2 linked regions of the Arabidopsis thaliana genome follow. The protein of the gene in region 1 interacts with the protein of each later gene in a pairwise test. Each region holds a gene or a part of one and is shown on either strand. Other genes may lie near its edges.

Region 1 (7,606 bases):
CCAACTCATCTTCTTTATCGAATCTGCACTTCTCTGAAGAGCTTCAATCTGTTTCTGAACCACAGCATCAGAAGCATACCCATCTTTGAGCCTCTGAAGCAGATCACACTCCAATACTGACAATGCCATATGCAAAATCTCAGAACCTTCAACCCGTGACAACGCGTCGGCCACCAAATTCTCCTTACCCTCCTTGTATTGGATCTCATAGTCAAATTCCAAAAGTTTTGGAAGCCACTGCTGCTGAATGGGTGTATTAAGACGCTGCTCCAGTAAATACTTCAAACTTCTTTGATCTGTTATGATCACAAAATGGTCATGTAACAAATAGTGCCTCCATTTCTGAATGGCAAAGACCACTGCCAAAAGCTCCTTCTCATAGATCGATAGGTGAAGTTGTTTGCCTTGTAAATGCCTGCTAATATAAGCCAGTGGATGGCCATTCTGCATCAAAAAGGCACTGATACCCTGACCACAAACATCTGTTTCAACTACAAAGGGTTGATCAAAACGGGGCAAAGCTAATACTGGGGTTGTACACAATGCATGTTTCAGATTCTAAAACGCCACAGTAGCATCGGGAGACCACAAAAATGCATCCTTCTTCGTTAGCAAGGTTAATGGTCTGGCAATAGCTCCAAAATTCTTAACAAAACGGCGGTAATAATTAGCCAAGCCCAGAAAACCCCGTAATTGCTTCAAATTAGTAGGTGCAGGCCATTCCTTCACAGCTAAAACTTTTGATGGATCGGTAGACAGTCCGTCTCTGTCAATAAAATGACCCAAGTACTCGACTCTTGATGTTGCAAACGCACAGTTACTCCGTTTGGCAAATAATTTATGCTCCCTCATTACTTCCAATACCAGTTTTAAGTGCTGCAAATGCTCCTTCTTTGATTTGCTATAGATAAGGATATCATCAAAAAACACCAAGACAAACTTCCTTAGAAACTTTTGAAACACTGAATTCATCAACCCTTGAAAAGTAGCTAGTGCATTGGTCAATCCAAAGGGCATCACCAAATACTCGAAATGACCACTATGAGTCTTGAAAGCAGTCTTGGGAATATCCTTCTCCACCATTCTCACTTGATGATAACCCGCTCTTAGATCAAACTTCGAGAAGATCACTGCCCCACCCAACTCATCCATAAGATCTTCAATAAGAGGAATAGGGAAACAATTCTTCACTGTAATTCCATTCACCTTTCGGTAGTCCACACACAATCTCCAAGAGCCGTCTTTCTTCTTCACTAAAACCACAGGGGAGGCAAATGAACTTGAACTAGGCTGGATGATACCGCTCTCTAACATATCTTTGACAATCTTATCAATCTCATCTTTTTGATGATTAGCATAACGATATGGTCGCATGTTCACCGGATTAGTGCCCTCAATCAAAGGAATTGGATGATCATGATGTGTCCGAGAAGGAGGCAGCCCTTTAGGTTCAGCAAACACATCCTTATACTCATCAAGTAATTGAGAAATAGCAGAAGTAGTACTTGGTGGTGACACCTCTGTTGTTAAAGAAGACAACTGCAACACCTCTCCCTCATCCTCATCAGCGTCTGCAACACACAACATAGACAGCTGAACTTCGGAGTCTCTCAGTTTGTTCAATTTGTCAGCCTTGATAGCACGCACCGACGAAGGCTGAATACCATGTATCATCACCCGTTTCTTATCCCATTTAAACTGCATTGTCAACAATGTGAAATCCCATGTAATAGGACCTAGAGGTTTCAACCAATGTACACCCAAAACTGCATCAATTCCTTTCAAAGGAATTACCATAAAGTCAGCTACAAAAGTCGTGTTATGAATCTCCCACTTAAAATTCTGTATTCTCGCTATCACCTTCAGATTGTAACCATCAGCCACCCGTACTCTTGCATTATCACTAGGTAGGAGTGAGCAACCCAACTTCTTTGCCATTTGAGGATCCATAAAATTGTGAGTGGAACCCGAATCAACCAACATAAAAATGGATCTCTTCTGACTTGTACCCTTAACTCGCATAGTGTTGTAAGTTGAGATACCCTCCATAGCATGAGTTGAGATATGAGCTACTTCCCCAACTAACTCCTTATGCTCTTCTTCTGCATCCAAGAACACTTCCTCAGCATCTTCCATTTCCAAAACAAACAATTGTGTTTTCTTGTGAATCTTATAATGTTCAGATGTGTATTGTTCATCACAAAAATAACACAATCCTTTAGCTCTCCTAGCACTCATCTCTTCAGTAGATAAGAACCGCCTTGGCTGATTTTGTTGTGTGTCTCTTGGTTTTTCCTGAAACGCTGGTTTATTGCCCTGCTGCTCCATGTCTTTCTTAAAGGAGAACTGGCCCTTTGAAGTAGCCTTATTGTTCTTCCAAGAAGTCGCATTGTTCTGCACAGGATGAGCAGTTTCATAGAGACGTCCCAACATCAAACACTGCCGCACCGTTTGGGGTTGAAACATTCGGATATGCATCTGTGTCTCAATCCTTAACCCAACCAAATACGCACTCACTAAATAATCCTCCGTCATCCTTACTCGAGTCCGGATCGCCTCAAACTTTGCGTGATAGTCATCAATGCTAGCAGCTGTTTCCTGCAACTTCTTCAGCTCAGCAATAGGATCCTCTCCAACCATCTCAAACCTCTCCCTGATCCTAGCTTTGTACACACCCCACTCAGGAACCTGCACTTCATCCTCAATCATATTCTGGTGCCAAGTAGCAGCCAGACCATCCAAATGAATAGAAACTACAGACACTCGCATCTCTTCAGGTATAGGATCCACCGCAAAAAATTGATCAACCTTAAACAACCATTCCTTAACCTTCTCACCACTGAATCTGGGAAAATCCAACTTCCCTAACCTTGTTACTCCCGAATGATTGTTAGCGTGACCTTGCCTTCTCATGTAATCCACGTCTGTTGCTGAAGCGGATGAAGCACGAGCTGTTTGATGAGTCTCACCCAGATTTGACTGCTTAGATGGAGACAGCATGTGGATCGCCTCAAACATCTCCGAGATATGGCGCTCGATCTTCAGATTTTGAGCATCGATCTTGCTCTCGATCTTCTCCATCTGTGACTCCATCGATTCCTCTGCTTCTAACGCCTTCTCTCGACGAGCTTGAGCTAACTCCTGAGCTCGAGTCTCGATCACCATCTCCGAGAAACGTCTTTGCTCTGATACCTTTAATACAGTAAAACCACACCACAACACAATCAATCAACCAAAGCAATCATCAACAACTCCGATTACTTATTATTACGATGTAAATAACAAATGAAATCCAATGTTCATAAAACAAGGGATTTCTGGATTCACCTCGCAAGAATCGACGTTCTATGCAGAGGATGAATCTCGGAATGTTTTCAGAGAGAAAGGAATAACAACAACTTCAACGATAACATGAAAATACGATGACACTTGATATTTATTAGCTTCAGCTCTACGCACACTTAATTTGAATCACAGCCGTCCATTGATCTTCTAATCACAGCCGTCCACGTGGCCTTACTCAATATCCTGTATCACACACATTATTCTCCTGCTTGTTCTGATTTTTTTTTTCTTTTTTCTTTTCTAGATAAGATTTCAATTCACAAATTTCTTTTTCCTCACGTAAAAAAAAGAAGAAAAAGGTCGGTCTACTTGTGGCTCACTCAGTGGTTCGAACCTGGGTTTAGATTTTGACTTGACCATAACGAAAACTAACTCTAATGATTAAAAAGGCTTCTTTTATTGTGCTCCGATTCCAAAATTTCACGGAAAATAGAAGCGTCGAGTTCCTCCTCTCCCTCAGGTTGTCAATGGCCGCTAGGTTACTTGCTTTGAGACGCGCTTTGTCTCTTTTCAGCAACCAACAACATCGTTTTCCTTTGTCTCAAGGTTTCATCTCTCTCCTTCTCAACTTTGTCATCTTTAAGAAAAATTAAAGAGTTATTGAAAATCGGGCACTAGAGTTAAACTGGTCTCTTAATCTGTGTAATTTATACTTGCCTTGATGTTTCTTTTGATGAATTTGGTTGAGATTCATGTAAATTTGTGGTTTTTATGTTTGAATTTACACTAGAAGAGGATTTTGGGGAGATTTTGGTTTTAGGGTTGTTTTTGTAGCTTTTAGAGATTTGGGGCATTAGTGATGATGAGTACTCGTATTCTCATGTGTATATCATCTAATATCGTCTTTGCTCTGTTACATTTTGGAGTTAGAGAAGTGCTTCTACGAAACCTGAAGTTATGAATGCTCACATAAGTGCTTTGTCTTCAACATATCTCTATGCATTAAGCAGTAGCTGTGAACATTGGCATTTCAGCTAGACGCTGGTTAAGTTTTCAAGTTTGGTTATATATTTCCTGACTAAGATGTGTTAGCATTAGTCTACGGTTTGATGCAAACATTATCCTAGGAGGTTCCTATGATGTCCTGTTATGGTACAGACTGTTTTAGCTTCGTGCAACTACAACTACTGTTAAATTGATCTTTCTTGATTATCTTTTTTTTTTTGAAAATAGTCTCAACAGAGCAGTTGTCGCTATCAAACTCACTCTTCAGCAGAAGTCATGTTTATGGAAGATTATTTCAGAGACAGTTATCTGTAATCCGTGAGGCAAATGAAGCTTCTGTAACCAATGTCTGCAACTCGTCAAACTCTGCTACTGAATCGGCCAAAGTTCCCTCCCCTGCGACGCCCTCTGAGGAAATGATGGTGAAGTACAAGTCCCAGTTAAAAATAAACCCGAGGCATGACTTCATGATGGTCTTCACTTGCAAGGTCTGTGATACAAGATCTATGAAGATGGCGAGCCGAGAATCATATGAAAACGGCGTTGTGGTGGTACGATGTGGAGGGTGTGATAATCTACATTTGATTGCAGACCGTCGTGGTTGGTTTGGAGAACCAGGAAGCGTGGAGGACTTCCTTGCTTCTCAAGGGGAAGAATTCAAGAAAGGATCCATGGATTCTCTTAACCTAACTCCTGAAGATTTAGCTGGAGGAAAGATTTCTACTGAATAAGGAGTGATCTTCTTTGCTTTTGCTACTTAACCATTATGGAACAGAACTTCACCTTATGTTCCAGTATTATAATTGTTTCTTGTAGTTCACTGTTTGGTAACATTTAAATGCAGAAGATGTTTAATACAATTATGTGTTTGGAATGTTCCATATAGGTTGAGATGTTCCATTGATTTAAGACAGAAACAAAATCTCAAGAGAAACAAAATAAGAATCTCAAGATTGATCAGTTTTAGGTGTTCAACTTCTCAATGATCTTTGCAAGGGCTGAATATGTGCCAATGACTGAACATACTGCTCCTACTGTCATAATTAAGATACAGATTGTCACCTGCAAACAAACCACAGATTGTTATATCGATTTCAGTTTGAGGAATTTCGATATTCGGTTTGGTTATCAGTAAGTGAGCAGGCCATACCTGAGTAGGGGTTACTTTTTTCCTTAAGATGCTCAAGAAACAAGCTGGCGGTAGTATCAGCGTCTGTGTCCAGAAACTTTGTCAGGCTAAGCAAATTCACTATGAAACTGCAATATGAGAATTTGCTTTACATAACCAGAAAAGGATGAAACAAATGTGTAACTTACAATGAGCATTGTCAAGAATGATCCAATCAGTGACATGACAAGGCCTGCAAGAATTCTGAGTGTCAAAAGAAGTGACACTTATTTTCTTTACATGTATATTTTTCGTTTGTCCTTACCGAAGAAGGGAATCGCAAGACCAACGAGCAGAGTAGAGATGGCTAATGCACTTCTAATGGCGATTGCGTAGAAACGTGACTTCCCATAGTTTGATGGTATTAACTCCTCAAGACTCATTGCAACTGGAGATAATGTCAAAGCATATGTGCTTTCTTTCTATTAAGGCCACACAATTTTCAGTTTATATTATGAATAAGCTTATGACAAAATTACAGAGATAAATGAAAAGTCTCTGAATATTTCTTGATAAAGGATATTTGGTAAATGGATTAACAACCTGCAAAAAAGGCAAGGAAAAAAACTCTTAGATGACCTCACCTGGCTAGCTACCAAATTTAGTGAAAATCATCCCAACTTTCATGTAATAAGCAGAGGAAGGGTGAAAAAAAAAAACTTACTGTAGTCCACAAAGCAATCTTAGATGCAACCAAATCTTGAGGCAAGTTAAGAGTAAACTGTGATTCTGTTGATTCTCCAAACATGCTATATCCCATAACAGCAACACCCGCATACATAAGAGTACAAATTCCAAAACTGTGAAAAAAAAATAAAAATTGATACTGTCAGTAAAAGATAGAAATGTAGAGAGTTCCTAAGATGTGTAATGTCTTTATATTTAAGCTTACGATGCCAAGAGAACAGCAGAAAATTGAGATGGTTTGGCCATTGAAGTGTAAATATTAGGGAAAACACCATGTCCTGAGTAACAATAACCATAGAGTCCTACAGAAACCGGTAATGTTGCGAGGTTTAGTGGAGTTCCTTTGCTGTGAATACCAACATCATCAACCAAACCAACCCAAAACAAGCACAAAACCACCAACACTGATGCAATCACCCCTCCAGCTGCAAGATCAAGGTTAAGATATTCACATATATGAAAAAAGAATCTTTAAAAGGTCCTTTTAGATTGAATGTTTTATACCTGAAATGTAACTTAGTACGCTGAGATCTCGAAGCCAAACGGTTGGGAGAACAGCGAGGGTGGTAAGCAGAGCAAATAGACGAGGCGCATCTAAGTGAAACCCTCCAATACTTAGACTAGCATTTGGAAACATTGATGAAAGATTATCACCTTCCAATATTATGTATTCAACACTCATAGCCTGCATGCAAAATGAACTTGTGTCAAACTTTGTGTAACTTTACCATAACTTGTATCAAACTTTGTGTAACTTTACCATATCATAGGAACATTCAGAATTTCTCTCTAGACAAATATTTCAATGTGTAGTTGATGAATTTCAACATTTTCTTATACTAAAAACCAAATATTTCATTTATGAAACAAGAGAGAGGGAAACAATATGGACCGTGGGCAAAGGTGTTGTCTACTCCACATGTGGTCCATTGTTTTGACTTGAGATTCATTTTAGGTACTTATTTTGAAACTTTCAAAAATGTATTTTGTCTTTATCTATATAATATAACGAAAATTATTGGAGGAATTGCAAGTTGTTCTTACATATAACTCCATATAGAGTATTACCTGCAATCAAAAGAAAGATAATTGTAAAATATTGTCACAAGTGATATATAATAACCCTCAAATTAACAATGTATAGATGAGTAGATTTTCTTTACTTACGGAGACCAGGATGCGGCCGGTGGAACCAAAAGCGGCATGGCCAATATCAGGATAGGTCTGGACATCGGGGTGGCTGTCGAGGCAGTACCGCAGAAGCAAACCGGTGTAAAAACAAAGAATACCAAATGCAAAGAGAATGATAAGTCCCAACCATCCTCCTTCCTTCACAGCATATGGTGTTGACAATATTCCAACCCCACATAAAACATTCACTCCTGCACATGTATCTCATCACTCAGAGAATTTTAACTAGTTAAGGTTTACATAGTGTCAGTGAACAGAGCAGACTTGTCA
Region 2 (11,344 bases), 3.1 Mb from region 1:
TCCTCTGTGTATCCACCCACCTCACCCCCTAGGTACCATGGATGCCAGGCCGTTTTGGCCGTTAGATTCATCTTCTTGAGGGAGTATTTGGTGGACGTCACTGGAATTCTCCCGTCTGTGTCTCCGCTGAACACCCAGACGCGGACGCCCTGACCCATCAGCTCCTTGATGAGAGGAATCACTGTGGTAGGACTGTCGTTCCACTTCTTTATCACACTGCTGCACGGCTGCCACTCGTAAGGCAGCTTCGTAGCGTTTGCGTGCAGGGCCGCTTGGACTTCAGGTCTGTTCAGGTAGGCCTGCACGTAATGGTCACTGCAGGGGTCAAACTCCCTTATTGTGGTTCCTCGCTTGGGCCTGCGAGTGAGCGTGGAGTTGAGGCACAAGGGAGCGTATATGTTGTAGATGTCGAGGTAATATGTATCCATGTCTATTTGGTCGGACACCACCGCGCACTCCTCAGTCATTACACTCGCAGACTCCGTCTTGAGATCGCAGTTGCTCTTGAGTCTAGCCAAAGAATCTTCGGAGATCAAAGCATGACTCTCGAAAAAGTCGTACATACCCATCAAGTCGGTCTCGTCGTTGATCACCGCATTTCCTATCAGAATGCCCTTGAGATTGAAGAAGCTCCGGTGATGGAGAAGGATAGTATGGGCAAGTTGCGGAACATAGTGGCCGGCATAGCTCTCACCGGCGATGTACAAGTCCCTGCCTTTGTACTCCGGGAACCTCTCCAGCCAGTTAACCAGGAAGATGTAGTTATCAGCTGCGGTATTCCTGTCCCCGTGCTTCTCCAGGTCCGACGTCGTGTTGGTGTACGAGAACCCCACTCCCGCCGGCGATTCTAAGAACAAGACATTCGCAGCTGCACCACCACCACCCGTTTGATAATTTTTTAATCACAAGAATCGTTTACCATTAATTTATTTTTGTTATTTAATAAAAAAGAAAAACGATAGGTACCATTGTTCCATGCATATCGGTTTCTAAAAAGCGTTTTGCCGTCGCTGTGTACTCTGAACGGCCCAAGCTCTTGTAATGCTCCATACGCCAGTGACGAGCATCCCGGTCCTGTTAATTATTTCCAACACACTTTATGCATATGTATGTATTATTAGTCACCCATATTTCTGTAATCAAATTCTCGATTTTGTGACAGCTAATTCACTGATGAGCTTACTATTAACGTCTCTGGTGAATTTGAATATATGTTGTACATTGCATTTTATTTTTATGTACATACATAATATAGAAATCAGTATATAATATATAGATAGATACGTAGTGGCTGGCTAAATAATTGACCAGTAGAGCTGTGCAACAAACAAAGCACGCCGAGAAATCCTCAGCATGTGCCATTTTTGAAAAAAGGCAAATCATTTTTCTTTTTCTTTTCTCAGTTGAGTTTTCGATTGGGGTTGTGGATCTTTTCCCTATTATTCACTACTATTGTTGCGCAAATAATAATTAGTTCCGATAATTTGATTTAAAAATTATAAAAGAAAAAGAAAATTAGCAGACCTATAAGGCATAAATATGGTATGGTCCTCACAATTATTAAATTCTGAAAATCATATAGCATATGATAGATTAATAAGCACTGAGAAAAAGACAGCCTCGATCGATCAAACTAACATTCTTGTTCATCTTTGTACTCAGATATAAGATGTACAGATATAAACCCATAATGCAGTGCCCCTAACTAAAGATGCAAACCAAAATAAAAGAAATATATATACGTATGCGTGTGGACAGTGGAAACGTACCGCCGTTGAGCCAGAGAAGCAGAGGAGAAGAATCTTTAGACTTAGAGGCTTCCACGAAATAGTAGAAAAAGGAACGCCCGGCGGATTCGTTGACGGTAACATAGCCGCCGTACTGATCGAAACTAACGGGAGGCTGTCCGGGCAATCTCCGTATCAGATCTCTCTTTCTTAGCCCCTCCTGATTAGCAGCACTCCGCAGCGAAGACGGTTTCAAATCCTTAACCGCCTTGAAATGGCTTGTGTCCATGGTGGACGAACCACCAACCCCTCGCTTAGACAGGTAAAGACGGCTCAGGGCGTGCACTTGGCTGCTGCATTCGATTCGAGACACCACCACACACAGTAACACCAACACCGATGCGATTACAGAGTAGGAGTAGCCCTGTCCTTTCCTCATTCTCTTATGTCTATGAATTATAGCGTGGGAGGGAAACAATAGAAGGTTTTGGTTTTGGTTTTGGTTTTGAAGAAGAGACAGTTAAATGAAGAAACGAGTGTGTGGGTTTGCATCTTTAAACAACTTCTTCTTTTTTGTGGGTCAAAACCTCCAACCATACGAATGATTGTTCCTTTTTTTTTTTTTTTTTTTTTTGACAACTATTGTTTTTGTTTTTCATTTTTAAAGTAGTACAATTATTTTGATAACAGATTCAGATTAAAGATTAATTTATTTATTTTATTTTTCGGGCCTCAATCAATATATATATATATATATATATGTTTCATGTAAGAAAAGGTTGTGTGTCTATGGGTGTGAAGTGAACTTACTAAATTAAATTAGTAATCTTCGAATGTATATGGCCTTCGATTATTATTAGTCGTTTGGGAGAGAAAAACGAAACACCTTGATAGCAACTTATAACTTATAAGTAGAATGATGCAATGATTATTGGTTTTTAATAATTATTTCTCTTTTTTTTCCCAAAACAAAAGTTAAAGAAGCATAAAATGCATTACCCTGATAAAAATGTACAAGTGGAATTCTAAGAATCTGAAGAAAAAAAAGAGCGAGGAGAGAAGATGTCAACGTCTCTGAGTGATCATGTTATGCCATGTGGTGTGTGAGTCGATGCTGCAATCCTGATTTTCACACTTGATATCATTCCATCTTTTGTTTCTTCGTAATACATTTAACTGCAAACAAATATTAGCTTATTTTCTACCATTGTTTAATACGAATTCTATAAATCTGGAACAGAAAAAATGTAAGACAATGATATGAGCCGAACATGGGACTTTCGTGTACTAGTAGCCCCACTGGCCAGATCCGATGTTTCAGCACATTCCTTCCCAGTTTATTATTCATAACAATCTCATTGACCACTTAAATAAATAATTTCAAATTTGATGATAAAAATTTCACGTGTTTTTGAAAACACATTATTGGGCCCAATTGTTGCGATTCAAAGTTGGGTAATGAGATTTATCCAGCATATTGTTCCAAGGCCCAAATAAGATGGGTCATAGGCCTCAGAGATTAGTTGACGTGTCATGTTTAGAATGGCTCTCAGAACCTTAGGGGAGTGTCCGAGATTACCCTTACTCTTTTGAGTTGAAAGTACAGTTTCGCCCCTGTCGAAATAAGAAAATAAAAAACATTCTAATCAAATCTATAATGGTGAAGTAACTCCTCTCCTCCTTTGTTCTCCAGATCCCAATTTACAAGAATTCAACTTCACACACCCTAAAAATTAAATCCCAATCTCCGATTCCAATATGGCTTGCATCAAGGGGGTGGGCCGATCCGCCTCCGTTGCCCTGGCTCCCGATGCTCCTTACATGGCCGCCGGAACCATGGCCGGAGCCGTCGATCTCTCCTTTAGCTCTTCCGCCAATCTCGAGATCTTTAAGCTCGACTTTCAGTCTGACGATCGCGACTTGCCTCTCGTCGGGGAAATCCCCAGCTCCGAGCGGTTCAATAGACTCGCCTGGGGAAGAAACGGATCTGGATCCGAGGAATTCGCCCTTGGTCTTATTGCCGGCGGCCTTGTCGACGGAAATATAGATCTATGGAATCCTCTTTCTTTGATCGGGTGCGTTTCCTTTCCTCGCCTTGCTTTGCTGCTATTGAATCGCCATTTTCACTCTGTTTTTTTTTATAATCCGCATTAATAGAGTTATGTATGTGGTATCCAATTTTCATCTGAACGAGTCTAACTCGAACAACTGTCACAATTTTCAGTTCCCAGCCCAGCGAAAATGCACTCGTTGGCCATCTTTCAGTTCACAAAGGCCCTGTGAGTTGTGTCTCTCTGCATTATTTTGTTGCTTAACGCTGTTTTGTTTTTATCACTCCTCATTTTCATGTGTGCGTGCTTCTTTTTTTCTTAGGTTCGTGGTCTTGAGTTTAATGCTATCAGCTCAAATCTACTTGCTTCTGGGGCTGATGATGGTGAAATTTGCATTTGGGACTTATTAAAGCCTTCAGAGCCTTCTCATTTTCCACTGCTCAAGGTATACCACCACTTCTTACTAGTCAACAACCTTGGTTTTTGTATTACCTTTTACTCTCATTATTGCTTTGGTATAAACCCATGAGTAACTTTATGCGAGGGTCTTTTGCAGGGTAGTGGTTCTGCTACGCAAGGTGAAATCTCCTTTATATCGTGGAATAGAAAAGTTCAACAGATATTAGCTTCTACCTCATACAATGGGACTACTGGTGAGACTTAGGGGTTTCTCTCTCTTTCTCTATCTACTTGACTACTACTTCACTTCTGTCTACTATATTTCTGCTTCTGCTCATCAGTCTTTATTTTCATTTTCTTTTCCCCCAGTAATTTGGGACTTGAGGAAGCAGAAGCCTATAATTAAGTAAGTATTCAATTTATTAAGTGATATTATTGAGGCTCTCGAAAAACTTGTTGTCAAATCCTTGATCTCGCCATTATCATTCAACAGCTTTGCAGATTCAGTTCGACGCCGGTGCTCTGTTTTACAGTGGAACCCTAACGTTACTACTCAGATAATGGTTGCATCAGATGACGACAGTTCACCTACTTTGAAGGTAAGGAATCATTTAACGCGTTGCTTCATATAGTTCAATTTTGGTTCTTTTAGTGATGTAAGGTATCTGCAATCAGCTCTGGGACATGAGGAATATAATGTCACCTGTGCGCGAGTTTACTGGACACCAAAGAGGTATTTTCAAATCATTGATATCAAAATGCTTTTCTCAGTGCTTCTCTCTAGCTTGGTATCATTTTCTATGGTTGGTAAGTGGACAGCCTTGTAGATCAGACGTCTTAGTCTTTAACCCACTCATATTTTGGTGCCTTTATATTATAGTCCTGTTGTCTTCATTCTTGGTGTTACACCTTGGTGAAGTGTAGTGGTGATACTTCTTATCTGTCAGGGGTAATTGCAATGGAGTGGTGCCCAAGTGACAGCTCATATCTTCTCACCTGTGCTAAGGACAACCGAACGATTTGCTGGGATACAAATACAGCAGAGGTAGTGTGAAGGAATCAATAAAAGATACAGATTTGCTGGGTCCGTGAATTAGTTAACTATTTTCCATTTTGACTGAGTTTGATCCAACCATAACAGATTGTGGCTGAGTTACCTGCTGGCAACAATTGGAATTTTGATGTTCATTGGTACCCAAAGATACCTGGAGTTATATCAGCATCTTCATTTGATGGGAAAATTGGCATCTACAATATCGAGGTACCTTAGTAGTTTGCCCTTCAGTAATTGTAAATTATTTTGTTCTATATGAATGAATGTAAATAATGTATGAGGCATAACAAATAATGAACTTTTGAATCCAGCCCTATCGACTGTTCTCCTTCATCATTTTAGGTTTCAGGTCCCCAGTTAACATACCACTGGAAATCAAATGTTTTAGAGTTTAATCTTATACACTTTGTAGTTGAGATTTACCTTATTAGCAAGACCTGTTGAACTGTAGATCTCCCTTCTCCCCTCCTAGAATGGATTAAAAAAACGTATTCAACGCTTTGGTGCAGGGTTGCAGTCGCTATGGTGTTGAAGAGAATAATTTTGGTACTGGTAATTCCATTTACCCAATCTGAACCGTTTGTTTACCGTTGATTACTTCTATCATTTTTATGCTGGAAGATGAAAAGCTTCAGGACCAACATTACTTCTTATATTCCTCTCTATGCAGCTCCTTTAAAAGCACCAAAATGGTATAAGCGCCCGGTTGGTGCATCTTTTGGATTTGGGGGAAAGCTTGTATCGTGTCACGCAAGGGCCCCTGCAAAGGGTACTTCGAGCATTCTATCCGAGGTAGGTATCTATGTACATATATTTATTTATCCGGTTATACCCCTTTTGTCGTCAATTCTAATTTGACTTAGTGTCATGTTTAGGTTTTTTTGCACAGCCTGGTAACAGAACAGAGTTTGGTGAGTCGAACTTCTGAATTTGAAGCTGCAATAGAAAATGGAGATATGACTTCTCTAAGGGGTTTGTGCGAGAAGAAATCTGAAGAGACTGAGTATGCCATCCTTGTGATTGAAAATGTTGATATTCGCCCTTATAAAAACTCATGAGATAACTCAGTTTGGACCATTTTATTCCACTGATTTCGCAGATCCGAAGAGGAGAAAGAGACATGGGGCTTGCTGAAAATCATGTTCGAAGAGGAAGGAACTTCAAGGACAAAGTTGATCAGCCATCTTGGCTTTACTTTGCCTGTTGCGGAAAAGGATCAGGCAGTAGATGGGCTCTCATCAGATCTCAATGGCATTAGATTAGAGGATACTGCGGCAGATGCACTGGATCTTGACGACAGTAACGAGGCAGCTGCATTTGCGATGGATAATGGAGAAGACTTCTTTAACAACTTTCCTGCTAAACCGGATACACCTGTATCTACATCTGCCAAAGATTTTATGCCTTCTGACACAGATTTTTCTACCAAAGGAGAAGAAACGCAAGAAATGCAAGAAGAAGAGGAAGAAAGTTCTGACCCAGTTTTTGATAATGCCATCCAGCGAGCGTTGATTGTTGGAGATTACAAGGAGGCGGTGGATCAGTGTATAACTGCAAATAAGATGGCCGATGCTTTAGTTATTGCTCATGTTGGTGGTACAGCGTTGTGGGAGAGTACTCGTGAGAAATATTTGAAGACGAGCAGTGCGCCATACATGAAGGTATATGTATATTCTTTCCCAACTTGATATGTAGGTAAGTGCCATCTACACCCCTGTTTGTGGTTGCAAAATCTGTAAACTACTGTATGTTTATCTATTTCAGGTTGTTTCTGCGATGGTGAACAATGATCTCAGGAGCCTTATCTATACAAGGTCACATAAGTTCTGGAAAGAGACTCTTGCTCTCCTCTGTACTGTAAGTTTCTCCGACTGAGGGAAAAATACTTAGAAAAGAAAGGAAATTTACTAATTGATATTGTCTATCAATGCACTCCAATAATCATAAAGGAAATGGAATCTGCTTTTTCGTGTCTTACTCAGCGAAAACATTTTCTGCTATCACTTTTAACTCTTTTCAACAATATAATGTGATGTTATCTCCGTGCACTCGTGAACCAAGATGAACAACTTGTCAGCTACGCTATTCTGCTCACTAGAAAACTTCTTTGTAATGAATGCTGATCTTATATTCATTGGCAAACAGTTTGCACAAGGAGAACAATGGACAACCCTGTGTGATGCCCTTGCCTCGAAGTTGATGGCTGCTGGTAACACTTTGGCTGCAGTTCTCTGCTACATTTGCGCAGGCAATGTTGACAGAACAGTAGAAATTTGGTCGAGGAGCCTTGCAAATGAGCGGGATGGAAGATCTTATGCTGAGCTTCTTCAAGTGTGTATCACTTTCTATGTTTCGCGCATAAATTTTGCTGGGCTTCTCCGCTCATATTTTTCTGCCCTTATCTTATAATAGGATCTTATGGAGAAGACTCTTGTCCTTGCTTTGGCAACTGGCAACAAAAAGTTCAGCGCATCTCTGTGTAAACTCTTTGAGAGTTATGCTGAGATACTGGCCAGCCAAGGGCTTCTTACAACGGCAATGAAGTACTTGAAAGTTCTGGATTCTGGTGGCTTGTCACCTGAACTTTCAATATTACGTGATCGTATTTCTCTATCTGCAGAACCTGGTGCGTATGCAGTTGTGTTTTTGATTAATATTTAAGAGAGTTTTGATGATAAATTTAGCTTAACATTTTATACGCAGAGACTAACACTACAGCTTCAGGAAACACTCAGCCTCAAAGCACCATGCCATATAATCAGGTATTTGAGTTCTGCAAATCGTTTTATATTTTACTTAGAATCCATGTAGCTTTCACGGATAACATACTTAGTCTTTACTCTTCTATGGCTTAGGAGCCAACTCAGGCGCAACCAAACGTTCTTGCTAACCCATATGATAATCAGTATCAGCAACCGTACACTGATTCTTATTATGTCCCTCAAGTTTCACATCCACCCATGCAGCAACCAACCATGTTTATGCCACACCAAGCTCAGCCAGCTCCGCAGGTTTCTAAAGTTTTGGTTTTGTTGCATTTTCTTTTCTTATTCTTCCTTGCACCATCATGCATTAATGACCATCCTTATCTAGCAGTTCTCAGATGTCTAGATCAGGAAAGTGTCCGTTTCTTTATGTTTTTGTCTAAGGGATTGGTCAAGCTTTTGAGATATGATGACATCTGAAATATGTATGTGGTGCTCAAATGCATAGTCTCTTCGTTTGTGTGATTTTTTTAGTCAGAATAGTAGATGGATTATAATAGGTATGTGGTTCTTTGACCTAAAACAAAACTCCCCAAAACTGAACATTTTCAGCCTCTAAACCCATGTCCTAGAGAAACGGATAATCTAGACCTTTACTTTTATTCACTGCTGTAGAATCTATATCCTAGAGAGGTCGTGAGAAAATTTTGTCGTGGGAAAGTGTTTTGTTTGCTATGTACAGGTTTCTTGGGCCAACTTGTTGACTATAGTGTGTTTATGCAGCCATCTTTTACTCCAGCTCCTACAAGCAATGCTCAGCCATCCATGAGAACTACATTTGTTCCTTCAACTCCCCCTGCACTGAAGAATGCAGATCAATATCAGCAGCCAACCATGAGTTCTCATTCATTCACGGTATGAGAAATTTTGCCTCCAGTGTGTTTGATGTTACCCGCAGTTTTAGTTTAATGAAGCTAACTTCTAAATTTTCATCAGGGACCATCTAACAATGCATACCCTGTTCCCCCGGGTCCTGGTCAATATGCACCTTCTGGCCCTTCACAACTTGGGCAATATCCTAACCCTAAGATGCCCCAAGTTGTTGCTCCAGCAGCTGGACCCATAGGATTTACGCCCATGGCAACTCCAGGAGTTGCTCCAAGATCTGTGCAACCAGCAAGTCCTCCAACACAGCAGGCAGCTGCACAGGCAGCCCCTGCGCCTGCAACTCCGCCACCAACTGTTCAGACTGCAGATACTTCCAACGTTCCAGGTATCGTACGACGTTTCATTAGCACCTTATCTCTGTTTTGTTTCTGAGTAAAGTCATATAATGATCACCTCTTGTAAACTGATCCAGCCCACCAGAAACCTGTGATAGCAACGTTGACAAGGCTTTTCAATGAGACATCGGAAGCACTGGGAGGCGCACGTGCGAATACTACTAAGAAGCGTGAGATAGAAGACAACTCGAGAAAATTAGGTGCTCTGTTTGTGAAACTCAACAGCGGAGACATCTCCAAGAATGCTGCGGACAAACTCGCACAGCTATGCCAAGCTCTGGACAACAATGACTTCAGCACAGCCCTTCAAATACAGGTAAGCTAGTAAATTGATCTCTTCTGGGTTCCTTGTAGATGATTTCGTGTTTAATAATCAGTTTTATTGACCTCAAAAACAAACAAACAGGTACTTCTGACTACCAGCGAATGGGACGAATGCAACTTCTGGCTGGCAACACTAAAGCGGATGATGGTCAAGGCCAGGCAAAATGTGCGGTGATTATTTATTTTCTGGGTTCATGGATTTTTTTTTTTATAAATCTTAAGGAGGGACGTGTGTATCAAACTCCTTTTGCTTTCTTAATTTTGGTCTTTTTAAAACGCCGTTGCTGCTCTAATCTTCTTTTTTTTTTTTTTTTGTCATTTATGAACCTCATCTGCTACTTCCAGTTACTCTTTTGTTTAGATAGTATAGAGATCATCAGATTGCTGAAACATTCTCATGTTTTTGGATGTTACTTTACCGGACAAGTTTGTTCGTCTTTCTTTCTACGAATTTTGTTAGATTTTTACGCTCTTTGTTTTTCTTGTCATATTTGAAACATGGATTAAGCAAAAAGTAGCATTTATAAAATATTGTTGAGCAACAACTAAATATTCCGCCAGAATCTCTTACTAATAAAAGGGAGACACGGGTAGCGGGAGTATCCTAGAACGCGTTGAGCAAACTTTTAAAAGAAACGTGCCAGTCACCATCATGGCCTTTTTGAGGTCGATCTCGGCCATGGTGCAGATTCCATGTAGGAGGAAGAAAGACATCATCCCCCACGACTACGAGGGCCTCATCCTTCGAATGTACATTAGGACAATAAGGAAAGGAGTATTGAAGAAACTGGATGTAAAAGATGATGGTACGAAAGCGACATGACAAATCAATGTGGTTGCAGCAGGCCTTGTCGATGAAAATATAAAACCTTTGGGTTGTATAAAACAGGCCCATATAGCGAGAGAATGTAGGCCCATATAATAGAGAATGTATGTTTATGGACCCAAAAACGTTACCACCAAATTACTTGACGTAGAGAGATCCGTTGCTTAAAAAAGTATGACTTATGTGCGAGAGTCTGAGAGAGACAGAGACATAAAGGCATTGATTGGAACGTCGTTGACTGAGAACACACATTGTGTTGTGATGACTGATGACTTGAAATTCGAAAAAGTTAGTTAAGTGGGGAGAGAGAGAAAGAGAGCTCAACCTCAATTGTGGGTTTTGAAACCCAATGTAACTAACCTACTAATAAGAGTTGCTGCAGTGCAATCCAATGCATGTGTGAGATCACTGGCGCGTGAGAATCACACTGACCCAATCGCTACGTGTGGATTTTGTGTGTAAATGGAGATGTCAGAGAGGGTTGAAAGGAAGAGAACGTGCAAATGCAATAATACGATTTCTTCTGACTACTACTTTTGATTTACAAAAGAAAAAGGAGTATTTACATATATTGAGGGTGCGGGCCGTATAACTAACTCTTATCGACGTCATTATTTTTAACATTCATCATTTGCAGCTTTATGTTTTTATCAATTTAACCAAGTGTTTTGAAAATAATAAAAATTGATCCTTGAGTGTATATATATGATAATAAAAGAAAACTTTACTGCGATAAGACTTGACTATTGGACCCATATACATGTATCTTTATAACTTTTGAGTAATTCTTTTATTTTTTAAAAAGGAGAAGCATTTTTAACACCAAAGCTTTATTACCTCTGGGAGTATATTATGAAACGACAGGTCAAATCAAATAATCAAACTCTACTTGCAAATAAAAGTTTGAAAATCAGAAACACACATTCTGTAATCTGGTTGAATACTTGAATGCTGAAAAAAAAAGAAAAAGAATAA

The links.
Region 2: the proteins of ZR3 (region 1) and AT3G63460 interact in a two-hybrid assay, tested with the Arabidopsis thaliana proteins (one large-scale study listed by BioGRID).

The regions. Positions count from the first base shown.
Region 1 is NC_003074.8:20,306,632-20,314,237, forward strand, and holds ZR3 (Zim17-type zinc finger protein), read left to right. Parts: upstream 1-3,637; 5' UTR 3,638-3,722; coding exon 3,723-3,891; intron 3,892-4,518; coding exon 4,519-5,021; 3' UTR 5,022-5,223; downstream 5,224-7,606. Other genes in the region: AT3G54830 (Transmembrane amino acid transporter family protein), read right to left, coding at 5,270-5,352, 5,441-5,516, 5,608-5,651, 5,724-5,846, 5,938-6,001, 6,123-6,258, 6,351-6,570, 6,650-6,830 and 2 more.
Region 2 is NC_003074.8:23,429,383-23,440,726, reverse strand, and holds AT3G63460 (transducin family protein / WD-40 repeat family protein), read left to right. Parts: upstream 1-3,359; 5' UTR 3,360-3,485; coding exon 3,486-3,802; intron 3,803-3,951; coding exon 3,952-4,006; intron 4,007-4,100; coding exon 4,101-4,223; intron 4,224-4,334; coding exon 4,335-4,431; intron 4,432-4,546; coding exon 4,547-4,583; intron 4,584-4,670; coding exon 4,671-4,776; intron 4,777-4,852; coding exon 4,853-4,910; intron 4,911-5,124; coding exon 5,125-5,222; intron 5,223-5,318; coding exon 5,319-5,438; intron 5,439-5,740; coding exon 5,741-5,783; intron 5,784-5,901; coding exon 5,902-6,023; intron 6,024-6,106; coding exon 6,107-6,234; intron 6,235-6,330; coding exon 6,331-6,892; intron 6,893-6,995; coding exon 6,996-7,088; intron 7,089-7,376; coding exon 7,377-7,562; intron 7,563-7,643; coding exon 7,644-7,857; intron 7,858-7,934; coding exon 7,935-7,993; intron 7,994-8,086; coding exon 8,087-8,242; intron 8,243-8,719; coding exon 8,720-8,851; intron 8,852-8,932; and 7 more. Other genes in the region: scpl40 (serine carboxypeptidase-like 40), read right to left, coding at 1-868, 967-1,074, 1,770-2,166. UniProt on the Arabidopsis thaliana protein: Required for protein transport from the endoplasmic reticulum to the Golgi apparatus.